Ovis aries: one gene and its partner. The protein of the gene in region 1 interacts with the protein of each later gene in a biochemical or structural test. Links are inferred from orthologs where the notes say so. Each region holds a gene or a part of one and is shown on either strand. Other genes may lie near its edges.

Region 1 (10,393 bases):
GAGTTCCTTGGACTGCAAGGAGATCCAACCAGTCCATTCTAAAGGAGATCAGTTCAGGGTGTTCTTTGGATGGAATGATGCTAAAGCTGAAACTCCAATACTTTGGCCACCTGATGCAAAGAGCTGACTCATTTGAAAAGACTCTGATGGTGGGAAAGATTGAAGGCAGGAAGAGAAGGGGACGACAGAGGATGAGATGGTTGGATGGCATCATCAACTCAATGGACATGGGTTTGGGTAGACTCCAGCAGTTGATGACGGACAGGGAGGCCTGGAGTGCTGCTGTTCATGGGGTCGCAGAGTCGGACAAGACACTGAACTAACTGAACTGGGAGAAAATATGCCATCCTGCTACTCTCCAGGTTTCAAAGACTGCCTTTTCATTTAGAATTTCTCCCTTATTACAAGGTAAAGAAGAAATGAGTGAAATGAACTGTTGGGCTGACTCAGAGAAGAAACTGACATGTTCTTGATTTTTCCATTATAGAATCTGACCATGGAAAAAAGTGAAGAGTGGTGCCGTTACCAAAAGGGGTGAAACATTTAAATTTAAGAACATGATGCAGCACCAAACTACGTGAAAAATCTAAAGGTAGGACAACCTGCTTCTATGCATGCTCAATCAGTAAGTCGTGTCCAACTCTGTGACCCCCATGGACTGCTCTATCCATAGGATTCTCCAGGCAACAATACTGGAGTGGGGTGCCATGCCCTTTTCCAGCGGATCCTTCCAACTAAGGGATCGAACCTGCATCTCCCTGCGGCTCCTGCATTACAGGTAGATTCTTCGCCGCTGAGCCACCGGAGAAGCCCAATACGGCTTTTACCTACTTCTAAAGTTAGGTAAACTAAGTGCCAGTTCTCTTTGGAAACCGTGAATGGCTCTGAAAAGAGCCTTTGGAAGTGTTTGGGGTCTGATCAAGAAGTCAGTGGCTCACTTGGAGCTGGTATACTTGGTGACGGCCTTGGTGCCCTCAGACACGGCGTGCTTGGCCAGTTCTCCGGGAAGCAGCAGGCGCACAGCCGTCTGGATCTCCCTGGATGTGATGGTCGAGCGCTTGTTGTAATGAGCCAGGCGCGACGCCTCGCCCGCGATGCGCTCGAAAATATCGTTCACGAACGAATTCATGATGCCCATGGCCTTGGACGAGATGCCGGTGTCCGGGTGGACCTGCTTCAGCACCTTGTACACGTACACGGAGTAGCTCTCCTTGCGGCTGCGCTTGCGCTTCTTGCCGTCCTTCTTCTGCGCCTTGGTCACCGCCTTCTTGGAGCCCTTCTTCGGGGCCGGAGCGGACTTGGCTGGCTCAGGCATGACTGACGATAATTACAAGATCGCAGAAAAAAAGTGAAGGATCTCTCAGCGCGTCTATTTTATCATGCAATATGCAAATTAGATTTAGTACCGTTCTGTGTCTGATTGGTGAATACTCGTAGTGACATCACATTCAATTTTATCCAATGAAAACGCTCATTTTAAGGACCTACACTTTACTCTGCAACTTTAACTGCAACTTTACCCAATGGAATAGCTTCTTTTTCGCGCCCAACTGCAGCTATAAAATGTGCAGTTTTCTTTTACTTTAGTCTCTTCGGGTGTAGTCTTGAAGAGTTGTAGTATGTCTGGACGTGGTAAACAGGGCGGCAAAGCTCGCGCCAAGGCCAAAACCCGCTCCTCGCGGGCCGGGCTCCAGTTCCCGGTAGGCCGAGTGCACCGGCTGCTCCGCAAAGGAAACTACGCCGAGCGGGTCGGGGCCGGGGCCCCGGTGTACCTGGCGGCGGTGCTGGAATACCTGACAGCCGAGATCCTGGAGCTGGCAGGCAACGCAGCCCGGGACAACAAGAAGACACGCATCATCCCGCGTCACCTGCAGCTGGCCATCCGCAACGACGAGGAGCTCAACAAGCTGCTGGGTAAAGTCACCATCGCTCAGGGTGGTGTCCTGCCCAACATCCAGGCGGTGCTGCTGCCCAAGAAGACCGAGAGCCATCACAAGGCCAAGGGCAAGTGAGGGGTCAAGAGCCACGCCTTCCAAACCAAAGGCTCTTTTCAGAGCCACCTACTTTTTCTGCTGAGGAGCTGGGACAGTAGTATTAATTAACCTTAGCCTGCCAAGTTGCTTCGGTCGTGTCTGACTCTGCGACCCCATAAATGGGCAACCCACCAGGCGGGCCTTTCCTTGGGATTATCCTGGCAAGAACACTAGATGTTACTTACCATGAAAGTGAAAAGCGCGACCCCATGCACTGCATGCAGTCCAAGACGCCCTTACTCAAGAGTTAAGTAAGTTCTATGATTTTATTGGTAGGGGGAAAATGGATTAACGGGAAGGAATATTGGCGGTAAGGAATATTGGCTTGGAGAGCGACTAGAAAATAGATCAAAGTGCACAGCTGTTTCCAGAGATCTCTGGGTGGCTCTGAAAAGAGCCTTTGGGGTTTGCTTCTCAAGCGCCAACTTTCTACTTCTTCTTAGGAGCCGCCTTCTTCGCCTTTGCAGCTTTGGGTTTTGCTGCCTTAGGCTTGGAGGTTTTGGGTTTCGCCGCCTTTGGCTTCACTGCCTTGGGCTTCGCGGGGCTTTTAGCAGCCTTCTTTGGCTTTGCCGCTGTTTTGGCCTTCTTGGGGCTCTTGGCCACTTTTTTGACACCAGAGGCCGCGGGCTTTTTCGCCTTCTTAGGCGTCTTCTTAACGGCTTTTTTCGCTCCCGCAGCCTTCTTGGGTTTCTTAGGGGTGGCCCCTGCGGGTTTCTTCGCTTTCGCAGCCCCCGCCTTCTTGGTTTTGGGCTTGGCTTCCCCAGCAGCCGCCTTCTTGTTGAGCTTGAAAGAGCCGGAAGCCCCGGTGCCCTTGGTCTGCACCAGTGTGCCCTTGCTCACTAGGCTCTTGAGACCCAGCTTGATGCGGCTATTGTTCTTCTCCACATCGTAGCCCCCGGCTGCCAGCGCTTTCTTGAGCGCAGCCAAAGAAAGGCCATTGCGCTCTTTGGAGGCGGCGACAGCCTTAGTGATCAGCTCGGAAACTGGGGGCCCGGTAGCCTTGCGCTTCGCCGCTCCACCGCTCGCGGTCTTCTTGGTTGTTTTCTTCTTGGCAGGAGACTTCTCCACCGGCGCCGGGGCGGCCGTCTCAGCAGGAGCGGTTTCCGACATTGCGATGGGAGAACCTGCTAGAAGCAGAGAGACTCAAATTCCAAAGAGCAAGTTTTGCAATGCTGTCTTGCGCCGGCCCGGGTTTATATAAGTCGGTGCTGCCCTGTGATTGGTGGAACGTCCGATCCACCGCCCTCAGGCAGCCGCCTGTCGTGGTTGGACTCCCAAACTGTGTTTGTTAGTCCCCAAAATTTGATTAAATGTTAAAAACAGTGGTACAGAATTTGACTCTTTGAAGCTTCAGAGGAGGAAAACAGCCTCCAAGGTCACATACTTGTTTGTGTTTTTATGACTCACGCGCAGTTAATGAAAGATATTTTTAAAAATCCCTTCAGCTTTTCCTATAGATTCACCGGACGTAAGGCATCGAGCTACGTAGTTGCATATTGCAATAAAGTTTTAGTTAAGTATCAAGTGAATGTTTTTTAAAAGGCATTGTCGCCAAGTTCGGCCTTCGATTTTTGCAAGAGGAAAGACACTAGGTTCCTTGGTTTTGCTTAAACTTTGCTTCGAACGGCAGCAAGTAACACAGGTGCAGGATGGCCAGTTGCCTACAGCCACAAATTAAGCATATAGATTTTACTTTAAAAATCGGTTTTGTCTTCCACGGAGTTTCCAGATGCCATTGTTTTTAGAGAATGGGATTTCGCGGCTCGGACTAGTTCTGTAGTCAAAGTGACTTCTTCCATGAGGAATAGAAATTGCTTTGGCTTCAGAATCCAATGACCTGTCTTCAAATTCAAACAAATTTAGTCTGTTTTTGATTGAGAAGCTTTCTCCCTTTAATTTGTAAGCAAATCCATTAAAATGAGAAAGAAAATTTCTTAACCCAGAAATGTATTTTAGAAAAAAAACCCCTCTGAAATCGGCTAAAAATTATTCAAGGGCTTCCAGCAACAGCGGAAAGGCTGTTTAGATGGCATGGGTCTCTCTCCCTCTCTTAGAAGCTGTTTTCCTCCTTTGGAGCTTCAGCACTTTCCACTGCTCTCCCTCAAACTCCATTTCCACCAACATTTAACAAATTGAATGGTCAGGAACACCTTCTTTTGTAGGACCTCAGTGTGGATATTTCTGTATATTTAATGAAGATAGACCTGTATCTTTCAGTGAAATAATTGGCTTCTGACTATAAGTGTGGGTTGGATAGTAAGGGAGTGAGTGGAGGTTATATAAGTTCAAGAGAATTCAGGAAAACATTAACATCCAAGGGCCCTGAGGCAGTAACTTTGAGGTGAAATGGAGGGTGATGTTTGTTATTTTGGGGGAGGAGGAAGCTTGGAGAGGATTTTGTCCCTGGATGCAATGATGATTAGGGTCTCTCATACAGTCAACAGTCAGTTCTTGTGAAAACCTGTAGGCTGACACTTCATGTCTTCAGGGGTTCCTGGAGTTGAAACTATAGCCTCTTATGGCCAAATCTTATTTGGCTTATTTTTGTATGGTCAAGGTAAGTTTCTGTATTTTTAAGAATATCTTTAAGATGTGACAGAGACTATATGTTACCTGCAAAACCTAAAATATTTACTTTATGGCTTTCACGGTTTGAATTCCTCCTCAGATAGTTCATGTTTTTCTTACAGGTCTGCCTTTTTCAGAATTATGCAAACCCAGATCTAAAGAAAAGGAGATCTTAAGAAAATGATTCAATCAAGCATTTCCCACTGTTTCAATCACAAAACTTTCAGAAAACTTGGGAAGGCTGGGAGGGGAGGGGGCGGTGGCGGTGTCTGCTTTACAAAAGAAGGGCATAATATAGCTAACATTCATTGAGCATTTAGTGCCAGGAACGTCTTAGTATGGTCTACAAACTAATTCATTTGCCACATTTTACAGCTGTTGTAGGTGAGTCGCAGAGAGCTGAGTAATTGGGCAACTGGCTGCTGTGAACCTCGACCAATATTTCTTCCTGCAACAGGGAGACAGGAGACACATTATCTTAAGTTGTATGGCACTTGGCAAAAGGTGGGGGAAAGGCGCTTCGTTTGTCATTACAGAACTATCCACAGGAAGCACTAATTAAGAAGTAATGGACCACTTTCAGTCACTTCCTTTAGCCAAGGATTAAATATTCTCTTTAAAAAAATGCTTCCCCGAGAAACAGTTCAATAGACTGATTCGGAGCCCAGGATACAGCCACTTCTGCATAGTATTGCCGTGGCAGTAATATTTGGGTCCACGATACGTTCCATTTAAAACTCATGGCGTTTTTCATTTGCTGGTAATTATGTATACTCGACAATGAACAGCTCCCTTTTGGTGACAATTGAGGGGCTCTTAAAAGAGCCTTTGGTGGTATGTGTTACTTGGAGGAGCCACTAAATTTATGCTCTCTCCCCACGGATGCGGCGGGCAAGCTGGATGTCCTTGGGCATGATGGTGACGCGCTTGGCGTGGATGGCACACAGGTTGGTGTCCTCGAAGAGCCCCACCAGATAGGCCTCGCACGCCTCCTGCAGCGCCATCACGGCTGAGCTCTGGAAGCGCAGGTCAGTCTTGAAGTCTTGCGCGATCTCGCGCACCAGCCGCTGGAACGGCAGCTTGCGGATCAGCAGCTCCGTGGACTTCTGGTAACGGCGGATCTCGCGCAGAGCTACCGTGCCGGGCCGGTAGCGGTGCGGCTTCTTCACGCCGCCGGTGGCCGGCGCGCTCTTGCGAGCCGCCTTGGTGGCGAGCTGTTTGCGCGGCGCCTTGCCGCCGGTGGACTTGCGAGCCGTCTGCTTAGTGCGAGCCATTGGTAAGTAGTGCCAACTACCTAACAGTGATGTGAGCACTCGGTCTTCCCAAAATATATAGCGAACCTCGCATCTTGATTGGACAATAAACTGCTGCTCCCTCGCCTACCCCGCCCTTCCACGCCCATTCTTTCTGGGTTTAGGAAGCATTGTCCCGCCTCTTCTTCGGACTCTAGGATTACGTGGTGAGATAGGAAATATCTTGTTGGCTTTTTAAAGAAGCCTGCAGGATGTATCCAAATTCTTAAATTCGTCATCTAGAGTAGGGGTCCCCAACCTCCGGGATCTAACTGTCTGGTGATCTGAGGTGGAACTGATGAAATAAAAGTAAGAATAAAGTGTGCTAGTCTCTCAGTGTCCGAATCTGTGATCCCATGGACTGTAGGCTACCAGCCTCCTCTGTCCATGGGATTTTCCAGGTAAGAATACTCAAGTGGTTTGCCGTTTCCTACTCCAGAGAAATAAAGTGCACAATAAATAGTCGTCGCTCTTCAGTTGCTCAGCCGTGTCCCTACTCTTTGCGACCCCATGGACTACAGCATGCCAGGGTTCACAGTTCTTCACTATCCCTTGGAGTTTGCTCAAACTCATGTCCGAGTCAGTGATACTATCTCATCTTCTGTCTCCCCCTTCACCTCCTGCCCTCAATCTTTCTCAGCATCAGGATATTTTCCGATGAGTGGGCTCTTCGCATGACGCGGCCAAACTATTGGAGCTTCTAACATGGCTTAAATCATCCCGAAACCATCCACCACCCAGGCGCGTCGAAAACTGTCTTCCACAAAACCGGTCGCTGCCGCCAAAAAGGTTGGGGACAGCTAATCTAGAGAACCTTGCATTATTTTAGATATAAGCTGTCATGATTTGACAAGCTTCAATAACATGAAACGAGTGTTTAAGTGGAGGCAAGTTAAAGTCAATCCAGTCACCACGTTCTGTTCCAGAACTCTGTAATAGCTAACTAAAACGAAGCTTGGTTACCTTTTCCCCTTAATACTTCATATTTGTTATTGCTAGCCTTACTGCTCGGTGAGCTATTTACCCTTAAAGTGTGAGCAGTGAACACAAAGACCATTTTGCCTGGCTTACAAGAAACGACATCAAACGAAAATCTGCCACTGCTGGTGATGGAAATACTGACGAAGGACTGGAGGTTGTGACCATACGCAAATTATACGAGACCTTAATCTTTCCCACACAACCTAACGACTTTAGCGCCCACAGCTCTTTACCAGACTTAGTGGGTGGCCCTAAGAAGGGCCTTTAAAGTATGACAGTTAAACGCAGCTTTAACCGCCGAAGCCGTAAAGGGTACGTCCCTGACGTTTCAGCGCATAGACCACATCCATGGCGGTGACAGTTTTGCGCTTGGCATGCTCGGTGTATGTGACCGCGTCCCGAATCACATTTTCCAGGAACACCTTTAGCACCCCACGAGTCTCCTCGTAGATGAGACCAGAGATCCGCTTCACGCCACCACGACGAGCCAGACGACGAATAGCGGGCTTGGTAATGCCCTGGATGTTGTCGCGAAGAACCTTGCGGTGGCGCTTAGCACCCCCCTTTCCGAGGCCCTTACCGCCCTTGCCGCGTCCAGACATATCCGCAACCACACTCGCTACGGCGCTATAGTTCCCCAAGGCCGTGTTTTATATAGTGATGTTTCGGACCTGATTGGGAACCGCTCAGACCAGCCGTGACGCCTCTGGGAGTTTCCAGACCTGAAGCCCGGCCCACGTTTTCCGCAAAATGGAGAGGCGCTTAAAATAGAGTCAGAAAATGGTCCTAATAAAATCCCTCTCTTCAGCTTCTACAATACATTGTGTTGCCCGTGCCCACAACTGGAAAACCATTCCTTTGTTTGAGTTAGGACTTGCTGCCCTTTTCTCTTTATGCTTTCTCTTGGGCATTGATCGTACTAGCGAGTTGTGGCTTCCGGAATGAATGGCCCATCTCGAGAGCCGTGATTGTAGTCTTTTGGGGGTTTTTGTGAAACCTCGTGGCTGAGAGCCTGATTATAGATAACTTCAGGATGGGCTTCCTCATCGTTCTCAGCAGTGGTCTCCCCTTTTCCTTTTCTTTTACTCATCCTATCATCTTCCTTTCTCTTCCCTCACTAGCTGCCACATTTTTGCTGGTAGAACTGTTTTTTTTTTTTTTTTTCAAATGTTTTTCGTTTCACTTAAAAACACTTCAGGAAATTGAGGAAGCTCAGTTTTTACCCGCCGTTTCCTCTGGCGAGTCCATGAGTAAATGAAAATCCTCTCAGGGACTCCTTTCCTGTCCTCCCCCTACCTTCTACTCACCCCCCCCCCCCCCCCACCCCCGCCATCACCACCTTCCTCTATCTCTCTTTTCTTGAATTGAGAAATCAAGTGCACCCCAAAATTCTGTGCCTTTAATAGTGTCTTTAATAAAGCGCTGAATGTAAAGACCAGGAACGATTTTATTCCAGGAATTTAAAAAATAAAAAACTTTCAAATGTTTCCTTGACTCCTGGCTATTTGAAATGACCTTTCGAGCCCTGGCTTGTCTGTAGCAGATTTCATTTCTCCGAGAAAATGCCTTCTCTAACGCATAACACATTTACTTTTTCTCTTTTTCCGAGCTTCAGAAATGTTTACCTTTTCTCTTTTAAATATGTGTGGTTGATTATTTACTACTTGAACAAATACCTAATATTATTCTCCAAATTTACTTTATAATCTCTGTAAATACTATATGTGCAAAAGATTGCATGCCCATCTTCTATTAGTTAATCCATTTCTTATTGAGTTACTTGTCTGGCTTTCTTCTTCTTCCTGCTCCTGTTTACTAATGGAATCTGAGTGCTTAACCTTGAAGATGTTATTGGGTGGGTAATCTCAACAATCCTCTTGCCTTGCAACTACAGAAAAACCAGGCAGCTTTCTGCCTTGTTACCTAGCAGTTGTTGAAGAGGGTGTTTGCTATGACCAGTGCATTATCTTGGCAAAATTTTGTTAGCCTCTGACCTGCTTTGTTTCATACTCCAAGGCCAAATTTGCCTGTTACTCCAGGTATCTCTTGACTTCCTACTTTCACATTCCAGTCCGCTATAATGAAAAGAACATCTTTGGGGGGTGTTAGTTCTAAAAGGTCTTGTAGGTCTTCACAGAACCGTTCAACTTCAGCTTCTTCAGCATTACTGGTAGGGGCACAGACTTGGATTACTGTGATATTGAATGGTTTGCCTTGGAAATGAACACATATCATTTTGTTGTTTTTCAGATTGCATCCAAGTACTGCATTTTGGACTCTTGTTTACTGTGATGGCTACTCCATTTCTTCTAAGGGATTCTTGTTCACAGTAGTAGACATAATGGTCATCTGAGTTAAATTCACTCATTCCAGTCCATTTTAGTTCACTGATTCCTAAAATGTCTACATTCACTCTTGCCATCTCCTTTTTGACCAGTTCCAATTTGCCTTGATTTGGAATTTAACATTCCAGGTTCCTATGCAATATTGCTCTTTACAACATTGGACTTTACTTCCATCACCAGTCACATCCACAACCGGGTGTTGTTTTTGCATTGGCTCTGTCTCTTTATTCTTTCTGGAGTTATTTCTCCACTGATCTCCAGTAGCATATTGGCCACCTACCTGACCTGGGGAGTTCATCTTTCAGTGTCCTATCTTTTTGCCTTTTCATACTGTTCATGGGGTTCTCAAGGCAAGAATACTGAAGTAGCTTGCCATTACCTTCTCCAGTGGACCACGTTTTGTCAGAACTCTCCACCATGTCTTGTCTATCTTGGGTGGCCCTACATGACATGGCTTTATAGTTTCATTGAGTTAGACAAGGCTGTGGTCCATGTGATCAGATTGGTTAGTTTTCTGTGACCGTGGTTTTTTCATTGTCTTGTCCCTCTGATAGATAAGGATAAGAGGCTTATGGAAGCTTCCTGATGGGAGCAACTGACTGAGGCGGGAACGGGATTTTGTTCTGATGGGCGGGGCCATGCTCAGTAAATCTTTTATCCAATTTTCTGTTGATGGCAGGGCTGTGTTCCCTCCCTGTTATGAAGATAATGGTGACCTCCTTCAAAAGGTCCCATGCATGCATTGCTGCCCCCGACCCTGCAGCAGGCCACCGCCAACCCATGCCTCCGCCAGACTCCTGGACACTCACAGGTAAGTTTGGGTCCGCTCCTTTCTCCTGAGTCCTGGTGCACACAGAATTTTGTTTGTGCCCTCCAAGAGTCTGTTTCCCCAGTCCTGTGTAACTTCTGGCTCTATGGTGGGGTTAATTGTGACCTCCTTCTAGAGGACTTCTGCCATATGAGTATATAACAACAATGTATGTTGCTCGAGGACATGTTTCTCCTTCTTAACAAGAACCTTCTGATTAACCTTGTTGATTTAAGATGTATGTTGTGGGAGTGGGTCTGGTAAAAGTATATAAGGCCTTGATAAGACTAGCAAGTGGGGCACTCTCTATCCCCCTTCTGATGTCTATGTCAGAATCTTTCTTTGTTTTTTTTCACTGTAATAAAA
Region 2 (10,357 bases), on another chromosome or scaffold:
CAGGCCGACTACGCAGGTTTGCGAAGTAGCTTCTGTCACTGCAGTTAGGGCCCGAGTCAGGTCTCCCTGACTCGGACGGAGGCAAAGAAAGGTGGGGCTGGCTCCTTCCCGCTTTCAGCAGAGCAAGCAGGAGATACCCGCTGGGGCTCCCCGGCCCCAGAGCAAGCGCATCTGCGGCCCCGCCCCGGACACTGCTAGGGGACGCAGGCCGGGCAGGACCGGCACCCAGCCGGGGACAGTCCTTCCAGGCTTCAAGCTTCGGAACGGCCAGGGCCAGACAAGCGTCCTTGTCGTCCTTGTTTTTCTGAAAAAAGCAGGCAAGGACCAGCTCTCCGCTAGCCGCACAGACGTGAAATGAGCACTGAACAGATTGAGCCAACCTACAGAGCAGTAAGCTGAACAAACAAAACAGGCAAGTTCGAGTGCTGCCGTCTCGGATCTACAAAGGCGCACACTTGTCTTCGCCTCTGAGAACCTTCAGAAGGTCCTGGGGCTTCCAGATCTACCACGGCCCCTCCGTGCTCCAGGCCCTGGCGCCACCACGTCAGGCAGCACACCCTCAGCAGGGGAGCCTCCTGTGTCACGTGTGGGGACACGTGTTCAGGGTTCCCCCCGGCACCACGAGGGAAGGACAGCAGAGTCCAGCAAGGAAAAGTGGGCATGACCCCGCAGGCCTGCAGAAAGTCCCTGCTCCGTTAATATCCTGGGGCAAGGAAAGAAGCAGGAACATCCACACAAAGCACGCTTTTCAGACGGCGTGTTCGCACTCAGTGGCGTCCAGCTCTTTGCGGCCCCACGGACTGTAGCCTGCCAGGATTCTCCGTCCATGGGCCTTCCGGGGCAAGAATGCTGGAGTGGGCTGCCATCTCCTTCTCCAGTAACAAATCCAGCTGTAAGGACTTCAGTTCAGTCGCTCAGTCGTGTCCGACTCTTTGCGACCCCATGAATCGCAGCACGCCAGGCCTCCCTGTCCATCACCAACTCCCGGAGTTCACTCAGACTCACGTCCATCGGGTCCGTGATGCCATCCAGCCATCTCATCCTCGGTCGTCCCCTTCTCCTCCTGCCCCCAATCCCTCCCAGCATCAGAGTCTTTTCCAATGAGTCAACTCTTCACATGAGGTGGCCAAAGTATTGGAGGATTAAAACTCACTTATTTCTTTCATTTTCCAATTCTTACTTAACATTCACTAGGAAGATGGCGCGTGCTTTGCAGGCTATCTTACTCCATGAACACGACTCATTTGGAGTGCCTGCCCCTCTCAAGCTGAAGCCAACCTGGCTGCAAATATGTCACCTACTGAGCAAAGCAAGAGGCTGCATACCAGCAGCTAGAGACACTGCCCCTCCTTCAGCGACGGGAAGGAGTGCCAAGCCAGCCCCAGACTCCAGCTGCCATCCCCAGGGCGTGTGCTGCCAGGCACGGACGAGAACAGTCCGTCTTCTGAATAAGAACGAGTCTGTCAAACTGAGACAACAGGAAGTTAACTTAGGGAACACTGAGAGAAAACGTAAACATACTCTGAAATGACCAAATGTTAAGACTGAGGCAACAGAAACGTCCCTGGCGGCCCACCGGTCAGGGTTCCATGCTTCCACTGCAGGGGCACAGGGCTGACCCCTGGTCAGGGAGCTAAGATCCCGCAAGCTTCGAGGTGTGGCCAAAAAAACGTTTTTAAAAAGAGAGTGTGGCGAGCACCAAAATAGGAAAACGCTGGGCAACCACTGGGCAATTAAACAACAGTGACAACCCAGGGGCGGGATGAGGTGGGAAGGAGGTTCCGGGAGGCGTGCATACGCATGGCAGAAGCCAAGCCAACACGGCAAAGCAATTACCCTCCAATTAAAAATAAATTAAAATTAAAACCTGAAAAACACCACTGTCCCGAGCTAATATTATCTGAGTTACAACCAACAATAAGATAACAGGTTAGTATAGGCCTGCCAGAGTCAAATACAGATGACACGTGACAGTTGTAACAAGCAGTTAGCTCACTGCAGATACACTTATATTGGAAACGGCTTTTGTGAATTAACGTGTAGATACAATAGGGTAGCTCATTAAAGGGACCCGGTCTAACTCTTCAAAGCAAAGACAAGCACAGGGGCTTCCCTGGGAGTCCCAGCTTCCACACTGCAGGGGGCACAGGGTCCGTCCTCGGTCAGGGAACTCAGATCTTGCAAGCTCAGTGGCCCAGTCAAAAAAAAAAAAAACAGAATATCACACCTTCACTCCTGTAATTTGGTTTGTAAATCCTCAATTTCAAATGTTAAGGAAGTTCACAGGACAGATAAAAAATGGCTAAAATGTGTTGGGAAAAGTGCTTAACCTCACACAGGAGATGAAACTTGAAAGAAGCCCCTTTCATGTATCAGAGCAAAAAGGCAGAGGATTTATTTGTATTATCCAACACTGGTTAAGAGTGAAGAGAAAGTGGTACTCTCACATTGATACAGAAATACAAATTGGAACCTTTCTGGAGAGCAACTTAGCTGTGCTTATTAAAGTTTAAAATGTATCCACACACTTCTAAGTATCTATTGCAGACATGCCTATACTAGAGCCCAAGGATACTGACAGCCTCATTTGCTAAGAACTTAGAAACAATTAAAACGTCCCTCAGTAGGGACAAGTGAGTCAGTTTGATGCTCCACATATGCAGCTACATCAGGCAGAACTGGCGTTCTGAGAGAGAAGCATCTCCCCACATCCGCTGCCTGCTGCTGGAAAAATGCATCAGAGTGATTGAAAATTCAGACCTTTTTAAAAAGTATGTGTAATTTAGTGAATGCATGGATGTCTGAAGTTACGCCTGAGGGGAAAGAAAACAAGGATACAATTTCATTTTTATACAGTGTGTGTACAATCTACGAGCATCGCTTCTATTATAACTGAGGTGAAAGGGGGCGATGCTGACATGAGGCCAGTGACCTGCTAATCCACTAAAAGCTCCACCGACGCTCCCGGGAACCCACGTGGGTCCTGCCGTGGTCAACACACCAGCTCTCCAATTTCAACAACAAAACCTGCAGGTCTGAAAAGGGTCAACCTGGATTCTTTGTAGAAAATGATCATTTTTTAAATGACATACACCCACTTCCTCTTGCGCATTAGTTAGGACATTTAGAAAAGACTTTTCCTTATGAGTTTCCATAGGTCTCCGCCCAAGTACATTACCAAAAATGACAAGAGAAAGAAATCACATTAGCCCAGAGTCACAAGGTTGCATCCTTAAACTCCATGTTCAAAGACTGCAAATGCTGTCTCTGAAGCTCAGATCCACAACTCTGAGAACCGGAAAGAGTCGCATTTCCTTCTGTCTCTGAGACACACGCTCATTCTTTTCCAAAGGACTCTCTGGATTACTCCATGCGACTCTCCAAATAAGTTTACTCAACAGGGGTGTTAAGCACAGTGTGAAGGAAAGTGGAATGCTGATGGGCAATGCCATAAACCAGCTGCAGCTAAAAATGTGCAGAAAACGTATATAAGAAACACATTCTCCAGCGCGTGGAAGGTTTTGAAACGTGACCAGCTTCCTAGCACAATGTTAAAGTCATAAAGAGTACACCCTGCGTATCTCTAATGCGCTTAATATTAAACAGCGTTAGGATAATATTTTCCAGGCTAGAATGTACTTTCCACTTGCCCTAATAAACCGAAGCCCAGATGGGAAATGTAACCAGGACTAAGTAAACACAATATAGACAGTGAGGCGAGCTAATGACCTAGGATGCCTTCACGAGCAATAAAGCATTCAAAAAAAAAAAGTTTCAACAGAGGGTATGAAAAGCTGGGCGTTTGGAGTGTGTGAGATAAATGCACCTTCAGAGAGGAAATGCGTTCCTGTGGATGCAGCCAAGAGTGTCAGATGCTGTCACAACACGGACGTGAGGGAGAGACGTGCCCCATGCAGCAGCCTTTAAAACATGCAGACTTGATTCTGGCTGACAATCCGTCACCGGAACCCCCAGGCATCTTACTAGGGTGCTGTATGGCCCACAGTGAGAAGTCCAGCCCAGTTCCTAGGTAGAAGATGAGCCAGAACAGGAAGAAGAGCCACACAAACACAAAGCGACTCCATTTTTTCTGAACACCCACACAGAGGCAGCAGTTTCTGACAAGAACGTTCTCGGCAAAAAAAAAAAAAAAAAAAAGTTACAGGAAGGTTTTATTCCCCTGAAGAAAAAGGCAGGTCTATACGCAGAGTACCAGAAAATACCAAATGGTGTTCTTCCCCCAGGCCCAAGTTTACAGCCCTCACATTTTGAAAACATCTAAATGTGTTTTTGCTTTTTTATCAAATAAAAGATGACTGGAAACACTGTTCTTGTCTGGAATGCTTACTTCTTGTTGTACTTGAAAATAAAATCCAACATGGCAGCTTACCTTGGCACTGGAAGCCTTGTTTCCCAAACCCCCTGAAAAACAAACAAGAAAAATTTCTTATTTTCTGTTGACACCACATCTTAAGCCAGTTATATGACAAAGCATTCTACAAAGGTAAAGATTTGCACATGAAACCCAATGATTTGACAGGAAAACATGCCTAAACAGCTCAGAGTGTAGTCAAGTCAACTTTGAAAAGATCTGGCCTCCAAAGTCTCACTGAACTCATTTCAACATATTCAAGGTTCTTGCCAGGCTTTTGTTTTTGTTTTTTCTAACATTTTATCAGTACTTAATTTAAGAACATGACTATAAAGTTGTTGGCTACAATATTCAAGCAACAAGAAGAAGTTTATGGTTAAAAAACCAAATCCACAAAGATGGCTGAATTTGGTCCCTAAAGACCAACTGAAAATCTTTTCACCCCAAAAACAAACAAGTGGCTTCCTCATTTGTTATGAAGTATTATCTACCTAGAGATCACCACATAGCATCACTCTTAACACTAAATTTTGGCTTAAAGGAGCCAGATTTTACAGTGTCATCCCTATCGTTTGCATGTGAGATGATGATCTTATTTTACTGTGAACCAACAGCATTCAAGCACATTCAGAAGCTATATTGCTCTTGTAAATTACTTTAGAGAATTTACTCTCTAAGCAGAGAACTCCGACATGGACATTAAATTGCAAACACCATTTCAACTAGGATGAACTACATTAAAATTCTCAGAAGGTTATGAGTCATAATCTCTTGCTTTACATAGCATTTTAAATTTACAAAGCACTTCACATATCTTTATAATTAACTTAGTCACTCCCCACCCCCCCAAAAAATTTAAATGCAAACAGTTTTAAAATACCAGTGCTTTAATATTTGAGTTGTAAACCAGGGAAGCAGAGAAGAGAAGAAAATTGAAAAATTAAAACCACGGCTAGACCGTGCTGGGGAGTATTTTCCTGGAACTTCCGAGGGGTTGCTCTGCAGCCAAGTGGAGAAGAGTATTGACTATGGGGAAGAAGAGGACAAGGTCTTCATTTCCACTTCGTGCTATGCCTGGTGGCCACATCAGTTCACAGGGGCCAACAAATGGCAGCGGGAAGTCTTCAGCAAGCCTGGATGTATAGATTGCAAGCCTCTTTCCTACCTCACCCTCGTCCTGCAAAAGTAATCGGCAGTCTGTTCTGTTTTAATGGAATTTCACAGCTGACACGTGAGGCCGAAGACCTTCCCTTAACTAAATACAATCTCTCTGCCTTGAGGCTCCAAGAACTGACCTTAAGCAGTCTTGTCTACATTGGCCTAGGAGCTCAACCGCTTCAGGCGCTGACTATACCTCGGAAATAATTCGGAGAGGTGGCTGTGCTTTTTACCTAAGTGTGCTTTGGAGCGGATTTCTAAAAAGAAGCGAAGACGTTAAGCACCTTATGAGCACATCTGTGGGGCTTTCCCTTAAAGATTCCCCCAGGTGTGACGGGTTCAGATAGAGCTTAAGGGAGAAGTTAAGTACCTATTAATTAGCACGTTTGCGGGACTCGCCCTTGGAGACGGTTTCCCCGTGTGATGCATTCAAGCAGCGTTCGTTCTCCCAAGAGCCCCGCAAGATCCAGGAGCCACACAGCGGCTGGGCAGTTAGCTGCCCGGCGCCGCTCCCCCCGGCGGAGGGGACTGAAGCAGGCCCAGCCGGCTCCGACTTGGGGGGCCGGGGGCTTCCTGCACACAGCAGCAAGTGACAGAATGCGTGGAGGTTGTCTGGCAACGTAAGAGGAAAAAAGCGAGTGCTTCTCCGAGTGAGGCATCTGAACTGCCCTAGTTTAGCTTTCTTAAAACAACGGGAGGAGAGGGGTCACAACCTTTCGAAAGTCAGTCAAAGTCATCAGCGTCTCCCCAGGAAACAAGCACACGCGCGATCCCCTCCGGCTTGGCGGGATCGGAGGCCCTGCAGCCTGTCCGGCAGCCGCGGCGCGGAAAGCGCGGCCCGGGGGCCCCCGCTGCCTGCAAGTTACCTGGGCTCGGCGGCCGCAGCCCGCCGGCAGCCCCGGGCAGGCCCGGGTCCGCTGCAGAGGCCGCCCGCGCGCCCGCCCCGCCGGCCGGCCGGCCGCCGCCCTCCCCGCGCCCGCCTCAACAGTTTGCCGCCGCTCCCCCCGGCTCGCGGGCCCGGCGCGGGGCGAGGCCGGCGCGCGCGGCGGGGCCCGGGCAGCCTCGGGGGCCGCGCTCCGAGCCTCCGGCCCGGGGAGGCGGCGGCGCCGCGCGGGGCCCCGCCGGGCGCGGGCGCTGCAGGGCCGGCGCGCACCCACCAGATGAAGTCGGTGCAGTGGCTGCAGAAGGTGGGCTGCTTGAAGAAGCGCGCGATGAAGCGGTGGTTCTTCACCTCGTGCACGTTCTTCTGCCTCAGCGCCCCTTTGCGCGCGAAGCGGTTGGCCACGTCCTGCGGCGCCGCCGGCTCGGCGGCCGGGAAGACGTCAGCCATGGTCCCTCGCCGCCTCCGGCCGCGGGGGGCGCGGGCGGCCGGGAGCCGGGCGGGCGCGGAGCGGAGCGGAGCCGCGAGCTCGCTGGGGCCGCTCGGCTCTGACGGCGGCGCCGGCGCTCGCGCTTCCTAGTCGGGCGGCGGGGGCGGCCCGCCCACCGCGCATGCCCGAGCGCGGCCCGGCGGGCGGGGCGGGGGCGCGCGGGAGGGCCGGCGCGGGCGCGCGCAGGGGGCGGGGACGCACGGGAGGGCGGGGGCGCGCGCGGGAGGGCCGGCGCGGGCGCGCGCAGGGGGCGGGGACGCACGGGAGGGCGGGGGCGCGCGCGGAGGGAGCCGGCGGCCCCGCGGCCCCCGAGCCGCCCGGGAAGCGCCCTCTCCCGTTCCCCCGGGTTTGCCGGGCTCCTCCCTCCCGCGCTCCGCTCCTCCCGCCCCAGGCGCAGCCCCGCGTCCCGGGCCGGCCCCCGGCCGCGCCCCCTTCCAGGACCCAGCGCCGTCCCGGGACCGACGCCCGCGCCGCTCGGAGGCTCAGCCCCTCGGGGCCGGCACGCTGTGCCGCCTGCGGCCCCGGAGCCGGGCGGCCCCGCGCCGGGTACACGCGTCTGATGTCTCGGGACGGCTGGAGGACCTGTCCTGGCTGTTCACCCCGTTACCCGTTGGGTACCACGCTTACAGCGTGGGTGATCAGGTCTTCTTGACTTTACCAGCCCAGAGCCTCCATTTAGACACGGTTTTGCAGCCTAAGGCTGATGACCACCGGCAGGTGCCGAGCGCAGCCAGTTCGTTTGCAAACTGCCGAGTGAAACTGCCCCGTGAAAGCGTGGCTGGCACGGCCCGGCGAAGCACGCGCGTGGGGCCGGACCGACTAGTCACTTGCTGAATACTCGTTAGCTCTGCCCCGAGGATGCTAAAATACATGAGGGAAACGTTTCATTATTGTTTTATTTCGTTGTCAGATTCGCTCAGATCAGAAATTAACGCATGTATGGAAAGGAATATGTGGAATTCTTCAAGAAGATAGGAAAAGAACTAGAGATGGAAGGAAGGAAGAAACCTTTCCTAAGATCTATGCTGTCTTATGGTACACAGGCCAAGTAGGGTTCCATTTCTTTTAAGATTGCTCAGTTGAACGCCTGTTGGTAGGAATGTCTTTTGTTTTGACAGGGGTAAGCGATTGACCCGCCCTTAAAGGGCGTGTACTTCCAGCGCTCACTCACAATGTTTCCGACCAATGTTCTTGGAGCTTAAGAACATTGCACCTGCCGGCTAGTCTGGTCAGAAACTTCTCCACTTTTGGCGGGGCCCGAGTGGAAGGGGGCGGGGCTTCCCGGGTGGGACTAGTGGTCAAGAACTCCTGCCAGTGCAGGAGACACAAGAGGCGCAGGTTCCATCCCTGGGTCAGGAAGATCCCCCTGGAGGGGGGCATGGCAACCCGCTCGTGTTTTTGCCAGGAGAATCTCAGGGACAGGATCCTGGCGGGCTACAGTCCATGGGATCGCAGAGTCGAACGCGACTGAAGTGAAGCAGCGTGCACGCCAGTTCAAGGAAGCAAAAAAAAGAAGATGCAAGGGAAGGAATGAAAAGCAGGGAACGTAGGAAAATAGAACAAGCTCTCCGAAAAACACTATTACCGTCTCAAGCACGGTCGTGTATTGCTTAATGCTTGTAAGTTACATGGGAAAATCACGGGACTTGTAATTGATGGTAGAAAGAAACACAAATTCTTGCCTCAAAACCACCTGGATCTAAGACAGGCCATCACCCCTTGTATGAAGACAAGCTTCTTTCTGTTTCCCTGAAGTTCTGAGGTAAAGGTGGAAGAAAGAGATGGGAGAGCTTGGAGGAGGGGCAGTAGGTGAGAGTGATGTCTGAGCAGAGGGAGCGGGAGGCGAGAGAAGAACCGAAACGGCCTTGCAGGGAGGGGAGCCCGCTCTCGGGGGTGGAGAGACCAGAGACAGTCTCTCATTTCTTTCGGGCTGTAGTTTTGCTTTCTTGCCTCCATTATTACTGTTGGTCCCTGTGAGTAGGGAGAGAACAAACTGAAGTTACTTGAGTGATGACAGCGCACGTGATCAGTTGCCTACAGCTGAGCTCAGTTGCGGGGCGGCTTCGGGATGCACCTGCGGGGGGCGGGTCCTTGAGCTGTGCAGCGCCACCCCAGCAAGGAGCAGGGGCGGGCCACACAAGGCCCTGAAACCCAGCCGGGCCCTGCGGGGCTCCTGGGCGCCTAGGCCCTTCTGGTCCCCATTTCTTGGTTACAGGAAAGAGGCTTCATTCAGCCCGAATGACCTTCCCTGAGCTCCAACAGGTAAGTTCAAATAAATGCTGATTAGGGAAGGGAAGGGAGAAGGAAATGGCAACCCACTCCAGTGTTCTTGCCTGGAGAGTCCCAGGGACGAGGGAGCCTCATGGGCTGCCGTCTATGGGGTCGCACAGAGTTGGACACGACTAAAGCGACTTAGCAGCAGCAGCAGGGAAGGGAGGGGGTGTAGAAACAAGGGAGGAAGCCTAGAGAAGCAGAGCAGCTGTGGGGCAGGGTCTCTGTCCCCCCCACCCTCAAGGGTTACCCAGAACACTATCTTTGAGCTGGTTTGAAGGTGCGGAAACCCCCACCAGGTGGGAGAAGTTATCCGTATGCTACCTGCAAGCACTTAGATCCCAGACCGGTTAGAACCAGAAGGTTGATGGTGTTGCTGGCCCAAATCTTGGCTTTCTCTGCCCACCAAAGCTGAATGAAAAAATATGGAGACAAAGTTTGGAGGAAATAGAAAGGTGGCTTCAATCCTCAGCTGCAGAGAGGGCAACACGGTAGGCTCGTGGCTCAAGAACTGTGCCCCCCATGAGGAGCCCAGGGGCTTCCATGAAAATAGGGCTTGCAGTAGCTAGCTTCTCCCCTCCCTTCCCTAGTCAGCATCTATTTGAACTTACCTGTTGGAGCTCAGGGAAGGTCATTCGGGCTGAATGAAGCCTCTTTCCTGTAACCAAGAAATGGGGACCAGAAGGGCTTAGGCGCCCAGCTGTAGGAGTAAAGGTGTTTGGCTCTTGATGTCTTCATGTTGCGTTGTTTCACAGGCCGGCATCAGTAGCCCGATAGTTGGGTCTGGCTGTCCGGCGGCTCTGTGGCCTTCTTTCTGATGTGCAGCTACAAGGGGACGGGTGTTGTAAGGATAAACACTGGGGATGCAGAAAAGTAAAGCTAGATACAGACATGCAGAGTTAGCAGTTAAAGTAAAAAAAAAAAACAACTAGGAGTGTTCAGGCCTCTTTATCTATGTCTTCTCTTTATCTTCTTTGCTCTCAGGATCGGGAAAGTGAAAGCTGCTTCCTCTTTTTACTCTGTCTCTGCAACAATGGTTCCGACTCCTGGTCACCCCAGCACCAGTCCATCAGAAGGATGCCTGCAGGCTGATCGCGCCCTCTGTGAGCCGTTACTATAAAGCTCCCCCCCCGCCCCTTCCAGGTCTTACACCATTTCTGAGGGCACGAGGCCACTGTGGCACCCT

Evidence for each region.
Region 2: of the proteins of H1-5 (region 1) and PRKCA, one has a biochemical effect on the other in vitro, tested with the Homo sapiens proteins (2 studies listed by BioGRID). The link is inferred for Ovis aries from reciprocal best matches to the Homo sapiens genes H1-5 and PRKCA.

The regions. Positions count from the first base shown.
Region 1 is NC_056073.1:29,962,033-29,972,425, reverse strand, and holds H1-5 (histone H1.5), read right to left. Parts: upstream 5,536-10,393; 5' UTR 3,144-5,535; coding exon 2,463-3,143; 3' UTR 2,286-2,462; downstream 1-2,285. Other genes in the region: histone H2B type 1-C/E/F/G/I, read right to left, coding at 935-1,315; histone H2A type 1, read left to right, coding at 1,620-2,012; uncharacterized protein LOC101120961, read right to left, coding at 5,536-5,919, 7,191-7,476. UniProt on the Homo sapiens protein: Histone H1 protein binds to linker DNA between nucleosomes forming the macromolecular structure known as the chromatin fiber. Histones H1 are necessary for the condensation of nucleosome chains into higher-order structured fibers.
Region 2 is NC_056064.1:61,842,049-61,852,405, reverse strand, and holds the start of PRKCA (protein kinase C alpha type), read right to left. Parts: upstream 6,964-10,357; 5' UTR 6,861-6,963; coding exon 6,688-6,860; intron 4,423-6,687; coding exon 4,391-4,422; intron 1-4,390. UniProt on the Homo sapiens protein: Calcium-activated, phospholipid- and diacylglycerol (DAG)-dependent serine/threonine-protein kinase that is involved in positive and negative regulation of cell proliferation, apoptosis, differentiation, migration and adhesion, tumorigenesis, cardiac hypertrophy, angiogenesis, platelet function and inflammation, by directly phosphorylating targets such as RAF1, BCL2, CSPG4, TNNT2/CTNT, or activating signaling cascade involving MAPK1/3 (ERK1/2) and RAP1GAP.